Arabidopsis thaliana: one gene and its partner. The protein of the gene in region 1 interacts with the protein of each later gene in a biochemical or structural test. Each region holds a gene or a part of one and is shown on either strand. Other genes may lie near its edges.

Region 1 (7,198 bases):
ACGAGGCAGAACTCTCTCTATAGCTTAAAGCTCCATGAGGTTCAAACCCACTTAGGAAGTTCTGGAAAACCACTAGGAAGCATGAACCTTGATGAGCTTCTCAAGACTGTCTTGCCACCAGCTGAGGAAGGGCTTGTTCGTCAGGGAAGCTTGACGTTACCTCGAGATCTCAGTAAAAAGACAGTTGATGAGGTCTGGAGAGATATCCAACAGGACAAGAATGGAAACGGTACTAGTACTACTACTACTCATAAGCAGCCTACACTCGGTGAAATAACACTTGAGGATTTGTTGTTGAGAGCTGGTGTAGTGACTGAGACAGTAGTCCCTCAAGAAAATGTTGTTAACATAGCTTCAAATGGGCAATGGGTTGAGTATCATCATCAGCCTCAACAACAACAAGGGTTTATGACATATCCGGTTTGCGAGATGCAAGATATGGTGATGATGGGTGGATTATCGGATACACCACAAGCGCCTGGGAGGAAAAGAGTAGCTGGAGAGATTGTGGAGAAGACTGTTGAGAGGAGACAGAAGAGGATGATCAAGAACAGAGAATCTGCAGCACGTTCACGAGCTAGGAAACAGGTTAAGAACTTGACATTGTGTTTTTACTTAGTTAATATTTGTTTGTTTGTTGTTAGTTGGTCTAGTCATCACATTGAAACTTGCAGGCTTATACACATGAATTAGAGATCAAGGTTTCAAGGTTAGAAGAAGAAAACGAAAAACTTCGGAGGCTAAAGGTAAAAATCCCATCTCTGCAGCTTGCTTCATGATCTAGTGTCGTTTTAGATTTAGTGGTTTTCTTTAATCTGATTATAATGGCAGGAGGTGGAGAAGATCCTACCAAGTGAACCACCACCAGATCCTAAGTGGAAGCTCCGGCGAACAAACTCTGCTTCTCTCTGATCCTAAAGACTCTTCTTTCTTTCTTCTTCTTTGTGTTGGTTTATATCAGACCGCTTTGTTCTTTGTATATTGTGTAGACTTTATTGACTTTGAACAGCATGTCTTTATAAACATTTCTTGAGTGTATTCCTCTTTTGCAGCTAGTTCAAACTTTTTGAGTACAAACACTAGTTCAAGTATGAATTCGACAATAGTTTTAGTACCTTACACAATTAAGCAATAGATTGATGGTTATGCTAAACCGTTTTTGATACTTGGTTACTAATACTTATTGGGCTTCTGATTACGGCCCAATTAAATCGAGTGTCTAATTATTCGTTCCTTCTTCTTCTTCGAGCAACGACAGTCCCTGAGAATCCAAATCGGAAACAATCTCCGGCAATTCAATAGTAAATGCGTTGCTCAGTTTCCTCTGTTGTTCGTCCACTATCAGTAGATCCTGCGACAGCCATAGCTACTTTGTGCTCAAAGGGTAACCTTCGAGAAGCTTTCCAGAGATTCCGACTCAACATCTTCACAAACACTTCTCTCTTCACCCCTTTTATTCAATCATGCACCACCAGACAATCTCTTCCGTCCGGAAAGCAGCTCCATTGTCTTCTCGTCGTCTCCGGATTCTCCTCCGACAAGTTCATATGCAATCATCTGATGAGCATGTACTCCAAGCTTGGAGATTTTCCTTCCGCTGTTGCAGTATATGGACGTATGCGTAAGAAGAATTATATGTCATCTAACATACTCATCAATGGGTATGTTCGTGCAGGCGATTTGGTAAATGCCCGGAAGGTGTTTGATGAAATGCCTGATAGAAAGCTCACAACTTGGAATGCTATGATTGCTGGTTTGATCCAGTTTGAGTTTAACGAAGAGGGTTTGAGTTTGTTTAGGGAAATGCACGGATTGGGGTTTTCGCCTGATGAATATACTCTTGGTAGTGTTTTTAGCGGATCTGCTGGGTTGAGGTCAGTGTCTATAGGGCAGCAGATTCATGGCTACACGATCAAATATGGGCTTGAGTTGGATTTAGTTGTTAATAGTTCGTTGGCTCATATGTATATGAGAAATGGGAAATTGCAAGATGGCGAGATTGTTATAAGATCAATGCCGGTTCGTAATTTGGTTGCATGGAATACACTCATCATGGGGAACGCGCAAAACGGATGTCCTGAAACCGTGCTTTATCTGTATAAGATGATGAAAATCTCAGGTTGTAGGCCGAACAAGATCACATTTGTAACTGTGCTCAGTTCTTGTTCTGACTTAGCGATAAGAGGTCAAGGTCAGCAGATTCATGCGGAAGCTATTAAAATTGGGGCTAGCTCTGTCGTAGCTGTAGTTAGTTCATTGATCAGTATGTATTCAAAATGTGGGTGTCTTGGAGATGCAGCTAAAGCTTTCTCGGAACGTGAAGATGAAGATGAAGTGATGTGGAGCTCAATGATTTCTGCTTATGGGTTTCATGGACAAGGCGATGAGGCAATCGAGCTGTTTAATACTATGGCAGAGCAGACGAACATGGAGATAAACGAGGTCGCGTTTCTGAATTTACTTTATGCGTGTAGTCATTCTGGCTTAAAAGACAAAGGGCTTGAGTTGTTTGACATGATGGTGGAAAAATACGGGTTCAAGCCAGGTTTAAAGCACTACACTTGTGTGGTGGATTTGCTCGGTCGAGCAGGCTGTTTGGATCAAGCCGAGGCAATAATAAGGTCTATGCCAATAAAAACAGACATTGTTATATGGAAAACATTGTTATCTGCGTGTAACATACACAAAAACGCAGAAATGGCACAGAGAGTCTTTAAAGAGATTCTTCAGATTGACCCTAATGACTCTGCTTGTTACGTCCTGCTTGCAAATGTTCACGCCTCAGCTAAGAGATGGCGCGATGTATCAGAGGTGAGAAAATCGATGAGAGATAAGAATGTGAAGAAAGAAGCGGGAATCAGCTGGTTTGAACACAAAGGTGAAGTTCATCAGTTTAAGATGGGAGATCGCTCTCAGTCTAAATCTAAAGAGATCTATTCATACCTGAAAGAACTGACTCTGGAGATGAAGCTGAAGGGATACAAGCCTGATACAGCGTCAGTATTGCATGATATGGATGAGGAGGAGAAAGAATCAGACTTGGTGCAGCACAGCGAGAAACTAGCGGTTGCATTTGCGCTCATGATATTACCTGAAGGTGCACCGATTAGAATAATCAAGAACTTGCGGGTTTGCAGTGATTGCCATGTTGCTTTCAAATATATATCGGTGATCAAGAACCGAGAGATCACGTTAAGAGATGGTAGTAGATTCCATCATTTCATTAACGGAAAGTGTTCTTGCGGCGATTATTGGTAGCTGGGCAGTTAAAGTATGCTATGACTCTCTGCTTCAGAGTCTTTCTGGAGTCTTAAGCACTCAGATTGGATCGGGAAGCCATCTGGGACGAAAGCATTCAGCAGCAAGGGTAAAATTACACTGCGGGTAGTAGCTTTGTAGTCTACCTTGAGATTGCTCCTGCCTGTGTTATTCTTGAGTCAGGAACATGAAGTGGTTTGCTGTCAACTTTACTTACTCAAGCCATCTCCGCAAGGTAGAAACTATGGTTCGCGTTATTTCGTATGTACCATGTTTTTGGTCGTTTGTGTAGTTTCTAACCTTCCACACCCTTGGCTTGCGATTCTTTCCAAAGCAGAGATGTTAGATCAGAGGATGGAGTGGGTTCTCAAGTAGAATGCACTTGCGAATCCCTCAGATCAGATTTTTCATAGGTAAAGTTCGTTAACTTCAACAACACCACTTTAGTAAACATGTGATAATCAATCGTCATAAGCATCTTCGATTCATTTTTATCTTATGCAAGTGTTTGCTTTATTATGATTTGTTAAGTTTTGCATAAATACGGACGTTGAAGCACTTCCCAGAACTCATGAGTGTTTTTATAAACTATTTATTAAAAGTTAGTATAAGAAAACTATAACATAAAAGTAAAATATAATTTAGACAAATGTAGCGATTGGTCCAGTTACTCATCCAAAATTCCAAATGAATCTTCCACCGTTGATAATTCTATTCCATTGTTTTCTTCTGTAGAAGACCATATATTATTAAGTCTCTAGTCCATTGTCAATAAATGGAAATACAAAAAAAAAAAAAAAAAAAAAAAGAAGAAGAAGAAAAAGACAGCATTTAATGAACGAAAATAATATTAATGAATTTGGAAGAAGGAACGAACCAACGAGAAAAATCAACGAAATAATTTAGACAAATGTAGCGATTGGTCCACTACCCATCCAAAAGTCCAAATGAATACTTCACCGTTGATAATTCTATTCAATTGTTTTCTTCTGTAGAAGACCATATATTATTAAGTCTCTAGTCCATTGTAAATAAATGTTTCTTTCAAATAAATGGAAATACAAAAAAGAAAAGAAAAAAAAGACAGCATTTAATGATGATAACGATTTGGAAGAAGGAACCAACCAATTAGAGTAACAAACCAAGGAGGCGACTCACATGAAAGCAAAAGCTGACATGGCAGTGAATTCAGTTTTATAAAAAAGGCTTCAAGGCCGAGAGTTCGTAGTACAAACTCTTCTCTCAGTCATCACAGAAAATAAAAAACAATGGCGAATAAGTTCACTAGACAACAGATTTCAGAGTTTAGGGAACAGTTCAGCGTATACGACAAGAATGGTGATGGTATGGTTCATCGTCTCTATTCCTCTAATCGTACATATTGGATCCTGAATCATCTTCAAAGCACTGAAAATGACTAACACAAGTCCTTGATTACTTCTTGTAGGTCACATTACCACAGAGGAGTTCGGTGCCGTGATGCGTTCCCTCGGTTTAAACCTGACCCAAGCTGAGCTTCAGGAGGAGATCAACGATTCGGATTTAGATGGTGACGGAACCATCAATTTCACTGAGTTCTTGTGCGCAATGGCTAAGGACACTTACTCTGAGAAAGACCTCAAGAAAGATTTCAGACTCTTTGACATAGACAAGAATGGTTTCATCTCAGCTGCTGAAATGAGATATGTGAGGACTATCCTCCGGTGGAAGCAAACTGATGAAGAAATCGATGAGATTATCAAGGCAGCTGATGTTGATGGTGATGGTCAGATCAACTACAGAGAGTTTGCCAGGCTTATGATGGCCAAGTGAGATTTAAACAACTTTTCCGCTTCCCCTTTTTTTACTACCTCTTATCTAATTTCATAAAGAATGTTCCTCTCTTGTTCTTAAATTTCATTCTGAGTTCTTGTGTGTATGGCTAGGAATCAAGGTCATGATACTAAATATGACACAACTGGTGGCACTTTGGAGAGGGACTTGGCGGCCGGGGTTGCCAAAAATATCATCGCAGCGCCAATGACCGACTTCATCAAAAATTTGTTCGAAGCGTTGTTTTCTTGAAATGGTACATCAGTAACTTTATGCCATTAGGGTCTGGCTGGTATGTTAGATCTCTCTAAAAAGGCGTTTGATCTTTGAAAATAATTTCTATGTAATAAATTTATTGTGTTACCATCTTTTCTTGCATGCAATTTATTAAAATGAGTTTGTAATATGGTTTCAGTATCGAATATAATTGGGGTATCAATGTATCTTTTGAGAAAAACATTTAAAACGTAGCAGAACTAATTATTGAAAACTGGTAGCATTACTAAAAATTGATCTAAATCGGTTAATGATTTGGCACATACAGTGATCAAATCAGCTAAGCCTCATATCTCACCGTCCCAGAGTTCTTCAAGACTCTTATAAGGACTCATCTAATGAATAATGACATGCCTCGCACCAACCTGCCCTGCAACATTGAAAACACACGTCTACAATTTCGATAACCCAAGTGTTTTGAGCAAAACAAAGGACGCCCTTTGACCCATTTGGACTACAATGTGTGGAAAATTACTGCATGTTCAATATCAGAAAACTTGGATAACATGTCTTCGATATGGGCTTTTCTTATTTTGTACCCGTGTAATTTCGCTGGCCCAAAATCCAAAGCAACAAGGGTAAATTTGTATGCAGTACATGTGGCATGTTGGGTCATATGGAAACAGGTCACAAGACTCAGATTCTTTACATTGCGGCGGGTAGTAGTAGCTTTCTAGTCTACCTTGAGATTGCCCCTGCCCGTGATTCTTGAGTCGGGCACAGGAAGTGGTTTTCTGTCAACTTTACTTGCTCAAGCCATCCCCGCAAGGTAGAAACTTCTGTGGTCTTTCTCGTTATTTCTTATGTACCATGTTTTTGGTCGTTTGTGTAGTTTCTTCTAACCTTCCACACACTTGTCTTGCGAATTCCTTCCACAGCAGAGATGTTAAATCAGGAATATTCAGGATGTAGAAACTTCTCTGCTCTTTCTCAAGTAGAATGCACTTGTGGAATCCCTCAGATCAGATTTCATTGGTAACGTTCGTTAACTTCAACAACAACACTTTACTAAACATGTGCTAATCAATTGTCATACGCTTGTATTTCTTCGATTCATTTTTATCTTATGCAAGTGTTTTCTCTATTATGATTTATTTAGTTTTGCATAAATAAGGACACTCCTTCGGAGTCAGTATAAGAAAACTATAACCTAAAATATAAATTAGGCAAATGTCCACTCACCCATCCAAAATTCCATTGTAAATAAATGTTTCTTTCAAATAAATGAAAAAAAAAAAAAAAAACAAGTTGGAAGAAGGAACCAACCAAGTAATTGCCAGTCAAAGGAGGCGACTCACACTTGAAAGGATAAGCTGACATGGCAGACAACGATCCTGCGTAGAAATTGCGTGAACGTGGAAAAGTTTGAGGATATAGCCGTCATTTCAAATAATTCGGGTACTATTATATAAGGCTTCAAGTCCTGGTTCGTAGTACAAATTGTCTCACAAACTCTTCTTTCAGTCATCACAGAAAACAAAAAAAACAATGGCGGATAAGCTCACTGACGATCAGATTACAGAATACAGGGAATCTTTCAGGTTATTCGACAAGAATGGTGATGGTATGGTTCATCAACTCTTTCCATTTAATCGTAATGTTGGATCATGATCATCTTCAAAGCAATGAAATGACTAACACAAGTCCTTGATTACTTTTTGTAGGTTCCATTACGAAAAAGGAGCTCGGTACCATGATGCGTTCAATCGGTGAAAAACCGACAAAAGCTGATCTTCAGGACTTGATGAACGAAGCGGATTTAGATGGTGATGGAACCATCGATTTCCCTGAGTTCTTGTGCGTAATGGCTAAGAATCAAGGTCATGATCAAGCGCCGCGTCACACTAAAAAA
Region 2 (7,883 bases), 1.7 Mb from region 1:
GCTATAAACAACAATCTGGAGAATGTTAGGTCACACGTAGCTTCGTAAGAGATGATTGATTGATTGATTGATTGGACTCTCTCTCTCGGGGGAGGGCAAGATCGGAATATGCTAACAATTATCCACAAAACCGTTTCCGCCAGAAACTAATCGAGCTTAGCTAAGATGAATAATTTTCTTTTGTCGTCTGGTTGGTTAGTGAGAAAGTGAAAGATACATACACTCGCCGGAGTCGTTGTTGTTGTTTAGGTCGTCAAGTGGATTTTCATTACACGGACAGGCTCTTCTTCAGTTTCACTCACTCTTATCCACATTTATTTCACTAAATTAGCCTTGTACGTTCGTATAATTATGAAATAACCCCCACATTTCTTTGTATTTATCATTATTCTCTCGTAATTTTTAAAAATAGATCTTCGGATCTTCCGCAAACAGAGCGTACGGCTGAAAACGTCGATACCCTTCATTGTGCTCGGAGTCTAAAATTGTAAAATTGAAATTAGAATTTTGATGATCGACAATGATTGAATGGCTTCTCCTCTTTCGAATCTCTACCACTAGAACCAAAATTACCACAAATTCTCATTTCTTCAAGAATTTTTGATAAATAAGACAGAGAACTTGAGAGATGAAAAGAAAAAAACACAAAACCTGGTGTTTTTTCTCTCGTCGTCGTTTGGTCGTGTCCTAAGACAAGAACCGGCGAACGAAGAACAAACTTTTTGAATCTAACATCCGAAAGAAAGAGAGAAAATGTCGTTTACAGGAACATTGGATAAATGCAAGGCCTGTGACAAAACCGTGTACGTGATGGATTTGTTAACATTAGAGGGTAATACTTATCACAAATCATGTTTCAGATGCACCCATTGCAAAGGCACTCTCGTGGTATTTCTCTTTTCTTCTTCTTCCTCCATTGTTACTCTGTTTTTCGACAATGCTTCATTGTTTTAAAAGACCACATCTTTTCTTAACACAGATAAGCAATTACTCATCAATGGATGGAGTTCTTTACTGTAAGCCACACTTCGAACAGCTTTTCAAAGAATCTGGCAATTACAGCAAGAATTTTCAGGCAGGAAAGACCGAGAAGCCCAATGATCATCTGGTAATGTCTTCAAAGATTCATCATCTTGTTTTTATTTCCTCTTTTTTTTCATCTGATTTGTCTCAATTGATGGATACTGCAAGACTCGAACTCCAAGCAAGTTATCATCATTCTTCAGTGGAACACAAGACAAATGTGCGACTTGTAAGAAGACGGTTTACCCACTTGAGAAAGTAACAATGGAAGGAGAAAGTTACCACAAGACTTGCTTCAGGTGCACACACAGTGGTTGTCCTTTGACTCACTCTTCTTACGCTTCTCTTAATGGCGTCCTCTACTGTAAAGTCCACTTCAATCAGCTCTTTCTCGAGAAAGGCAGTTACAATCACGTCCATCAAGCCGCTGCTAACCACCGTCGATCCGCCTCTTCTGGTGGCGCTTCTCCTCCTTCTGATGATCACAAACCTGACGACACCGCCTCAATTCCCGAAGCAAAAGAAGATGACGCTGCCCCTGAAGCTGCAGGAGAAGAGGAGCCTGAGCCGGTCGTTGAGTCTTGAAAATGTCGTGGAGGAATGATCTTATCAGTTCTCAAGTTTGAAGTTTTTATATGCGTTTCTGTTTAATGAATATATAAATACAAATTGTTGTTGTTTCTTCTTGTAAATTCTTGTAAAGTTTTAAAGCTCTTTTTGGAGAGAATCTGTTGTAAACAAAATCTTTAACATCCAATTTTTTTTGAAGAGGATATTTTTAACCTTTAGTTTTAAAACTTTGAGGACCATGTTCTGAAACAAAAGGTTATAACAAGATATTTTATTTGATGAATCAAAATTCAAAACATACGGTATAGATAGCATTCAAACACACTTCTCTCCATTTCTTGTAATCAAGAGTTGTGAGATTTCGCCAAAGAAGAATCAAACTCTTGACACTGTGTTCTTGAGATGAGTAGTGTTTCAAGACATGAACAGAGCCTTGCATTTTGCCACTGTGTCATCTGGACTCGTAACTGCAACAACAGAAACAATCCTATTTGTCATGAAAATATCTCGCAACACAAACATACAGAGATTAAACGATAATATATCCAAGTAGCTGACCTGAATGGCCAATTGTTTTTGGTGATTCATAGATTTCATAGTCATTTCCACCCTGCAGAAGTAAAAGCCATATTTTTACCCATCAAGCTCAACGGAAACCATACAACAACTCTAATGAATAGATTTGCAGAGTTGAGATGAGTCTTATACCTCATAGGTCTTGTCACCGAAGAAATGGATTTCACTGAAGTCCTCGAGGTATTGCAAGCAGTAAGTCTTATCCCAACCTTTAGGGAAGACCTAAGTCATAACAATTTGATTAGACTCAGTGACTCAAAAAATGGATTTAAGAAATTGTTATAATCCACATTTTGATTCTACTCACATCGAAGCTTATCTGTCCCCCAATTGAGAAAGTAAGGTTAAGATGTGCAAACCGCTCACGAAGTTCAGCTACCATCTTTGGTCGGATGTTTTGAACCTTTTAAAAAAAGTGTTGAATGACAATGCTCAAAATATATTCTATAAGAAATTGAACAAACTAAATATAGTTTCTTCTACCTTATCATATCTCTCAAATTCATCTCTTTCTTCTTGGCTGCAGTTGCGACCAATGGGTGATACATTGAGCATTCCATTTCGGAATTCAATAAATGTTCCCCTATGTATACAAATTTCAAGAAAATAAATCATCTTATCACTTTGCAAACATGATTAGAGACTAGCAGTTGGATCCACGTTATACCTCTTAATTGGAATATCCAGGTCTGCAATGTAGTGCAGCGTGAAATTTATCAACTCCTGCATCATCAATTTACGCTATCAGAAACTATCTATATACATATATACTTGCATACACTTCAACATCAATAAAACCACTAAAGCAACTGCTGCTACGACACATGAAGGACAGTGATATGAGTTTACCTTGAGTTTATCGTCTCCAAGGTGCAGCTTCAGGCTCTGAGAAAAAAGATACAAACTATTAAGAAACGATAAAACAACAATGTGGATGTAAGTAAGTAAAGCTATAGGTTCATATGCACCTGAATTCCAATGGATTTCCCATCTTTATGGGCGACAAGACCATTCTCAGAGAAACAATAATCATAGTCGTTTGTGACTGCAAAATTTACAAATTCAAAAGTTTAAGCCAAGAGAATCTCACAAGGCAAGAAAATTAGAGCCAGATCTAAAACTCCTTCTTGAACTAAGACTTAGGTAAATCAAACTCATTCCACAATTTGAACTCAACCAACTTAATGATCAGCAGCTATCCCAAATTCCAAATCTACAGACTTCAAGGATCTTCTGTATGCATGCTACTAATGGATCTAGTCAAAGATTTGAAGCAGAGAAAATCTATATAGTTTGTCTCCACTTTTAAAGGATCCATCCATATATAGTAGAAAAGAGCAAAAGAGACCATTCTAATAGAAGTAGGAAAATATCCTTTCTTTGAATACCAAATCGAAAATTCTACAGCAGGTTATAGTTTTTCCGATCCGATCACAGTCGTACCTGTTTTGCCAAGCTGCTCAGATATCTTACTTAGATCAGATCCACCGACGACTCCAATAGTGACGACCTGAAACTCTCACATACATTATATCAAACACTAAGTAGGCATAAACACAACCAACAGAAACGGAACTTAGCAACGATGGATCAATGAGATACCTTTCGCAATTCTCGGATAAAATCGAGCAATTCTGGAGTAGCTTCCTTCCTTGGAGCTGTGAGAGTACCGTCGACGTCGAACAAAGCGATCACTCCGGGAATTTTCGCCGCCATTGAATCCGGTGGTAGGGAATGATGAAGAGTTTTCAAATTAGAAGATGATAATGGCGGAACATGTAAATATATAAATTGGACCGATCTAATCTTTATTCTTTAACCAAAGAGTGTCGCTTAAACTATGGGTCCTCACTTTTTCTCCTAGAGATCAGTGATTGGTTGATAAAATAATCGTGACACATCAAAATTATTCTTTTCTAACAATCCTTATTTATGTTATATAAAGGGTACTTGGACGTTGTTGACCCAAAAAACATGAAATAGTATTGAGGCCGAAAACAATTAATTTTATGAAGAAGCAATTTGGGCCAGTACTACTAATGGTTTTCGCCTTTTTGGGCCATCCGGTTTATATTTGTATATCATTATGCAAATTGGGAAATATGACTTTATAACCAAAAAAAAATTCAAACGAGAGCACTTGACAAAAAAACAAGGTGATATTTGATGTATTTTCACACAAATGATAAGAGGAACAAGAGCGTGCACTTCACACAGCAACGTTTATATTAAACGGTTGTATGCAACGTTTATATTAAACGGTTGTATGCAACGGTAAACCGGAGAATATGTAATGTAACGGTAATATTTTGTTTTATAAAAAAAGGAAATTAATTAACTCACACCAATCTATAAATACGGACTTACTTCATCATTAAGAGATAAGAAAATCTCGCACTAAGGAGAAGAAAAAAACCCTAGAATCGAATCCTCTTTACGTTGAGGATCTTCAAAAGTCTTCTTTGTATATAACCTAATCGATCAGCGGTTCAGAGAAACGGTTATGGTTTTTTCTAATTATATCGTCGGCGCTAGTGAAGATCCGGTGACGAAGACTTGCATGAACGCTATGGCGGTGAAGATACTCGCTCTAGGATCTGTTTTGGCGGTTCTAAGTTCTAATGGTTATTTCAATAAAAATATTCGGCTTCGTGAATCGTAATTCGTGACAATCAGCGACGGAGATCGCGACGGAGAGACTGGGGAATTCGTTTCCGATAACGGTGGTGGTCTGGTGGAGGACTGCTTTGCCGTAAGATTAGAGATGGTGTCGTTTGGGCTCAGGACTAAGGTGCAATTCTTCAAAGCCCAACAATATCAATTTCAGCCCGCCATAAAAGTCAATTCTTAGCCCTATTTTCTTTTTAGCCCTTAAATTACTTAGATTTACAAACTGAGATAGAAGTTATGAATATTTTTTTATAAGGTTTTAAAATTTTGATTTTTTCCCATCTAAGGGTTTTCAAATTTAATTTGGATATTAAATTTATAAAATGATATGAAAGCTGACCGGATTTTGAATCCTGTCATTTGACCTAATCATTTGATCGTTAGCCGATTCCACAAATTCAACTTGTTTTCGCATCGTTTAGTAGATTTAATATACAAGTTATTAATATATTTTTTTTAAAGGTGATTTTTGTTCTTTTCTTTCTTACGGTTTTCAAATTTTAATTTGGATATTAAATTTACAAAATGATATGGAAACTAACCGGATTTTGGATCCTGTCATTTGACCTAGTCATTTGATCGTTAGCCGATTCCACTAATTCAACTTGTTTTTCACATCGTTTTATAGATTTAATATACATGTTATTAATATTTTTCTAAGAGGTTTTTTATAAATTTTATTTTTGTTCTTTTCTTTCTTACAGTTTTTGATCGTTAGCCGATTCCACTAATTTAACTTGTTTTCGCATCGTTTTGTAGATCTAATATACAAATTATTAACATTTTCGAAAAATTTTAAAATTTTTGTTTTTTTTTCTTTTTTATGGTTTTTAACTTTTAATTTGGATATTAGATTTACAAAATAAAATAAAAATTAACCGGATTTTGGATCTTGTCATTTGAAGTCGTATGCCGATACCACTAATTCAACTTGTTTTCACAATGTTTTGTAGAATTAATATACAAGTTTCATATTAATATATTTTCAAAAGTTTTAAATTTTTGTTTTTTATTCTTTCATTTTTACAGTTTTTATTTTTAAATTTGAATATTAATTTTTACAAAATGATATGAAAACTAATCGAATTATGGATCATGTCATTTGACCTTTGCATCGTTTTGTGGATTATATACAAGTTATGAATATTTTTTAAAAAAGTTTCATTTTTTTTTCTTTCTTTTTTACGGTTTTCCTCCCCTCATTGTTCTTTTATCAATCTTTGTAATTCCTTTCAAATACAACATTAACAATATACAAAATAGTAGTGAGACGAGACACAAGCAGTTCCTATGACTCGTTACATTCTTGTGTGATCACTATCAGTGTGCAAACGAGCTTTGTCACATCATTAAAAATCGAAACTTGCATCCATTGCAGAAAAAGCTTGTCAACCTAAGATCTCCAAGAAAATAAGGAATGCTTCCATTTGCATCTCCGGCGAATTCACTGTGAATTTTCCACTTGGCTCTGGCCTGCGTTGAAGATGATAGCTTTTTGAAGAAGACGAGGTTTTATGGCTTAAGAGAATATAGCATTCACAAAAGCCTCCGGATCAAAAGGTTGGAGATCTTCTACAGCTTCTCCTACACCGATAAACTTTACGGGAATGCCCAATTCCTCAACCACACTGACCTGCAAGACATGGAGAACCAGTTTCAATGACAGAGCTAATGAAAAATAAGAGCTTTGAATGAGATCAAAAATTTTATGAGATATTTACCACACAGCCTCCTCTAGCAGAGCCATCTAGTTTCGTCAATATCAAACCGGTGATACCAACAACCTGAAAAAAATGTAACCCAGAAACCTCAAGATTTTACGAAGAAATTCTAGTTTGGGGAGCCAGAATCACTAGGTTTAGGTAGTTTCGTATGGTACCTCGTTGAATTCTCTAGCTTGTGGAAGCATGTTCAAACCAGTGTTTCCATCAAGGACAAGTAGGATCTCCTAACAATTCCGTAAAATATTATTTTTAGCTAACGCATGATCGAAATTGGAGACTAACAGAGTGTAATAATATAAGCAAGATAACAGAATAGGATAAGTAAAAAGGCTCACTCACATTAGGTGCACCAGAGACAATCTTGCCCACTGCTTTTTTGCACGCAATCAACTCCTCCATCAAACTGTAATTAGTATGGAGACCTTACATAAAGAGGTGTAATGTTCCTCAGATTCAGTAAAGACGGTACATAAGCATGTTTTTTAAGTCAGCAAGCAAACTCTTGTATGCTTACGTCCAGATGTGTCGCACAGTACAACATCATAACCTTCCTCCTTCCCCCTTTTCACAGCCTTTGAGAGAACTATTCAGAAACAGAACAAACATGTTAAAGTTGTTTGTGCACCAAACACCGATACTGGCAAGCCAAAATAACAATGCATTGGTTTACCCGTGGCTGCTTTAGCCTTGTCTCCTTCAGCCACAACAATCTCACACCCAGTCCTCTCTGCCCATATCTCTAATTGGTCACTTGCTGCTGCTCTAAATGTATCACCTGCTGCCATTAATACCTATGACAAATCATCGCAGGATTGCTGATGAACATACTGATACTCAATTCTATTTCTACCTACCCTGGCAAAATTTCTCATCACCTATTTGAGCAACCACTTTCTAGTCTCAACTCTCAAGAGAAGAACAAAAAGGATCTAGTTTACATGATATCAAACATGAAAGGTGTACCTTAGTTCCTTCATTTTTCAATCTATGAGCCAGCTTTCCTGAAAAACAAAAGCCAGAATCTTTCACATAAATCTTTCTGTGGCTAAGCCAAAGCAAACCAGCTAGTCATTTGAATTCCCACTCTAAAGCATTAATGCCAATTTCCTTACCAAGAGATGTCGTCTTCCCACCTCCGTTCACTCCAACAATCATTATAACAGCTGGTTTCCTGATACACCATAACATATAACCAGACTTAGAACCACAATCTTTCATAACTCCACTTCAACAGAGCAGAGGCGTGAAAGAATAACAAGTAACACAGCTAAATGAAGAGAACCTAAAACCCAATTGAAGCTCTGTCTTGCTGTTTTTCTT

The links.
Region 2: the proteins of AT2G41090 (region 1) and PMM form a complex in vitro, tested with the Arabidopsis thaliana proteins (one study listed by BioGRID).

Annotation. Positions count from the first base shown.
Region 1 is NC_003071.7:17,131,297-17,138,494, forward strand, and holds AT2G41090 (Calcium-binding EF-hand family protein), read left to right. Parts: upstream 1-4,050; 5' UTR 4,051-4,526; coding exon 4,527-4,602; intron 4,603-4,705; coding exon 4,706-5,066; intron 5,067-5,183; coding exon 5,184-5,322; 3' UTR 5,323-5,703; downstream 5,704-7,198. Other genes in the region: EEL (Basic-leucine zipper (bZIP) transcription factor family protein), read left to right, coding at 1-588, 675-746, 832-912; AT2G41080 (pentatricopeptide (PPR) repeat protein), read left to right, coding at 1,306-3,258; AT2G41082 (uncharacterized protein), read left to right, coding at 3,529-3,633; TCH3 (Calcium-binding EF hand family protein), read left to right, coding at 6,835-6,910, 7,011-7,198; AT2G41105 (uncharacterized protein), read right to left, coding at 7,155-7,190.
Region 2 is NC_003071.7:18,851,878-18,859,760, reverse strand, and holds PMM (phosphomannomutase), read right to left. Parts: upstream 4,087-7,883; 5' UTR 3,886-4,086; coding exon 3,772-3,885; intron 3,680-3,771; coding exon 3,613-3,679; intron 3,215-3,612; coding exon 3,138-3,214; intron 3,055-3,137; coding exon 3,019-3,054; intron 2,893-3,018; coding exon 2,837-2,892; intron 2,753-2,836; coding exon 2,653-2,752; intron 2,573-2,652; coding exon 2,477-2,572; intron 2,392-2,476; coding exon 2,302-2,391; intron 2,204-2,301; coding exon 2,152-2,203; intron 2,061-2,151; coding exon 2,008-2,060; 3' UTR 1,743-2,007; downstream 1-1,742. Other genes in the region: PLIM2a (GATA type zinc finger transcription factor family protein), read left to right, coding at 754-888, 980-1,108, 1,192-1,608; CPFTSY (signal recognition particle receptor protein, chloroplast (FTSY)), read right to left, coding at 6,359-6,472, 6,561-6,623, 6,719-6,787, 6,903-6,985, 7,078-7,146, 7,234-7,354, 7,527-7,564, 7,676-7,734 and 1 more. UniProt on the Arabidopsis thaliana protein: Catalyzes the interconversion of mannose-6-phosphate to mannose-1-phosphate, the precursor for the synthesis of GDP-mannose.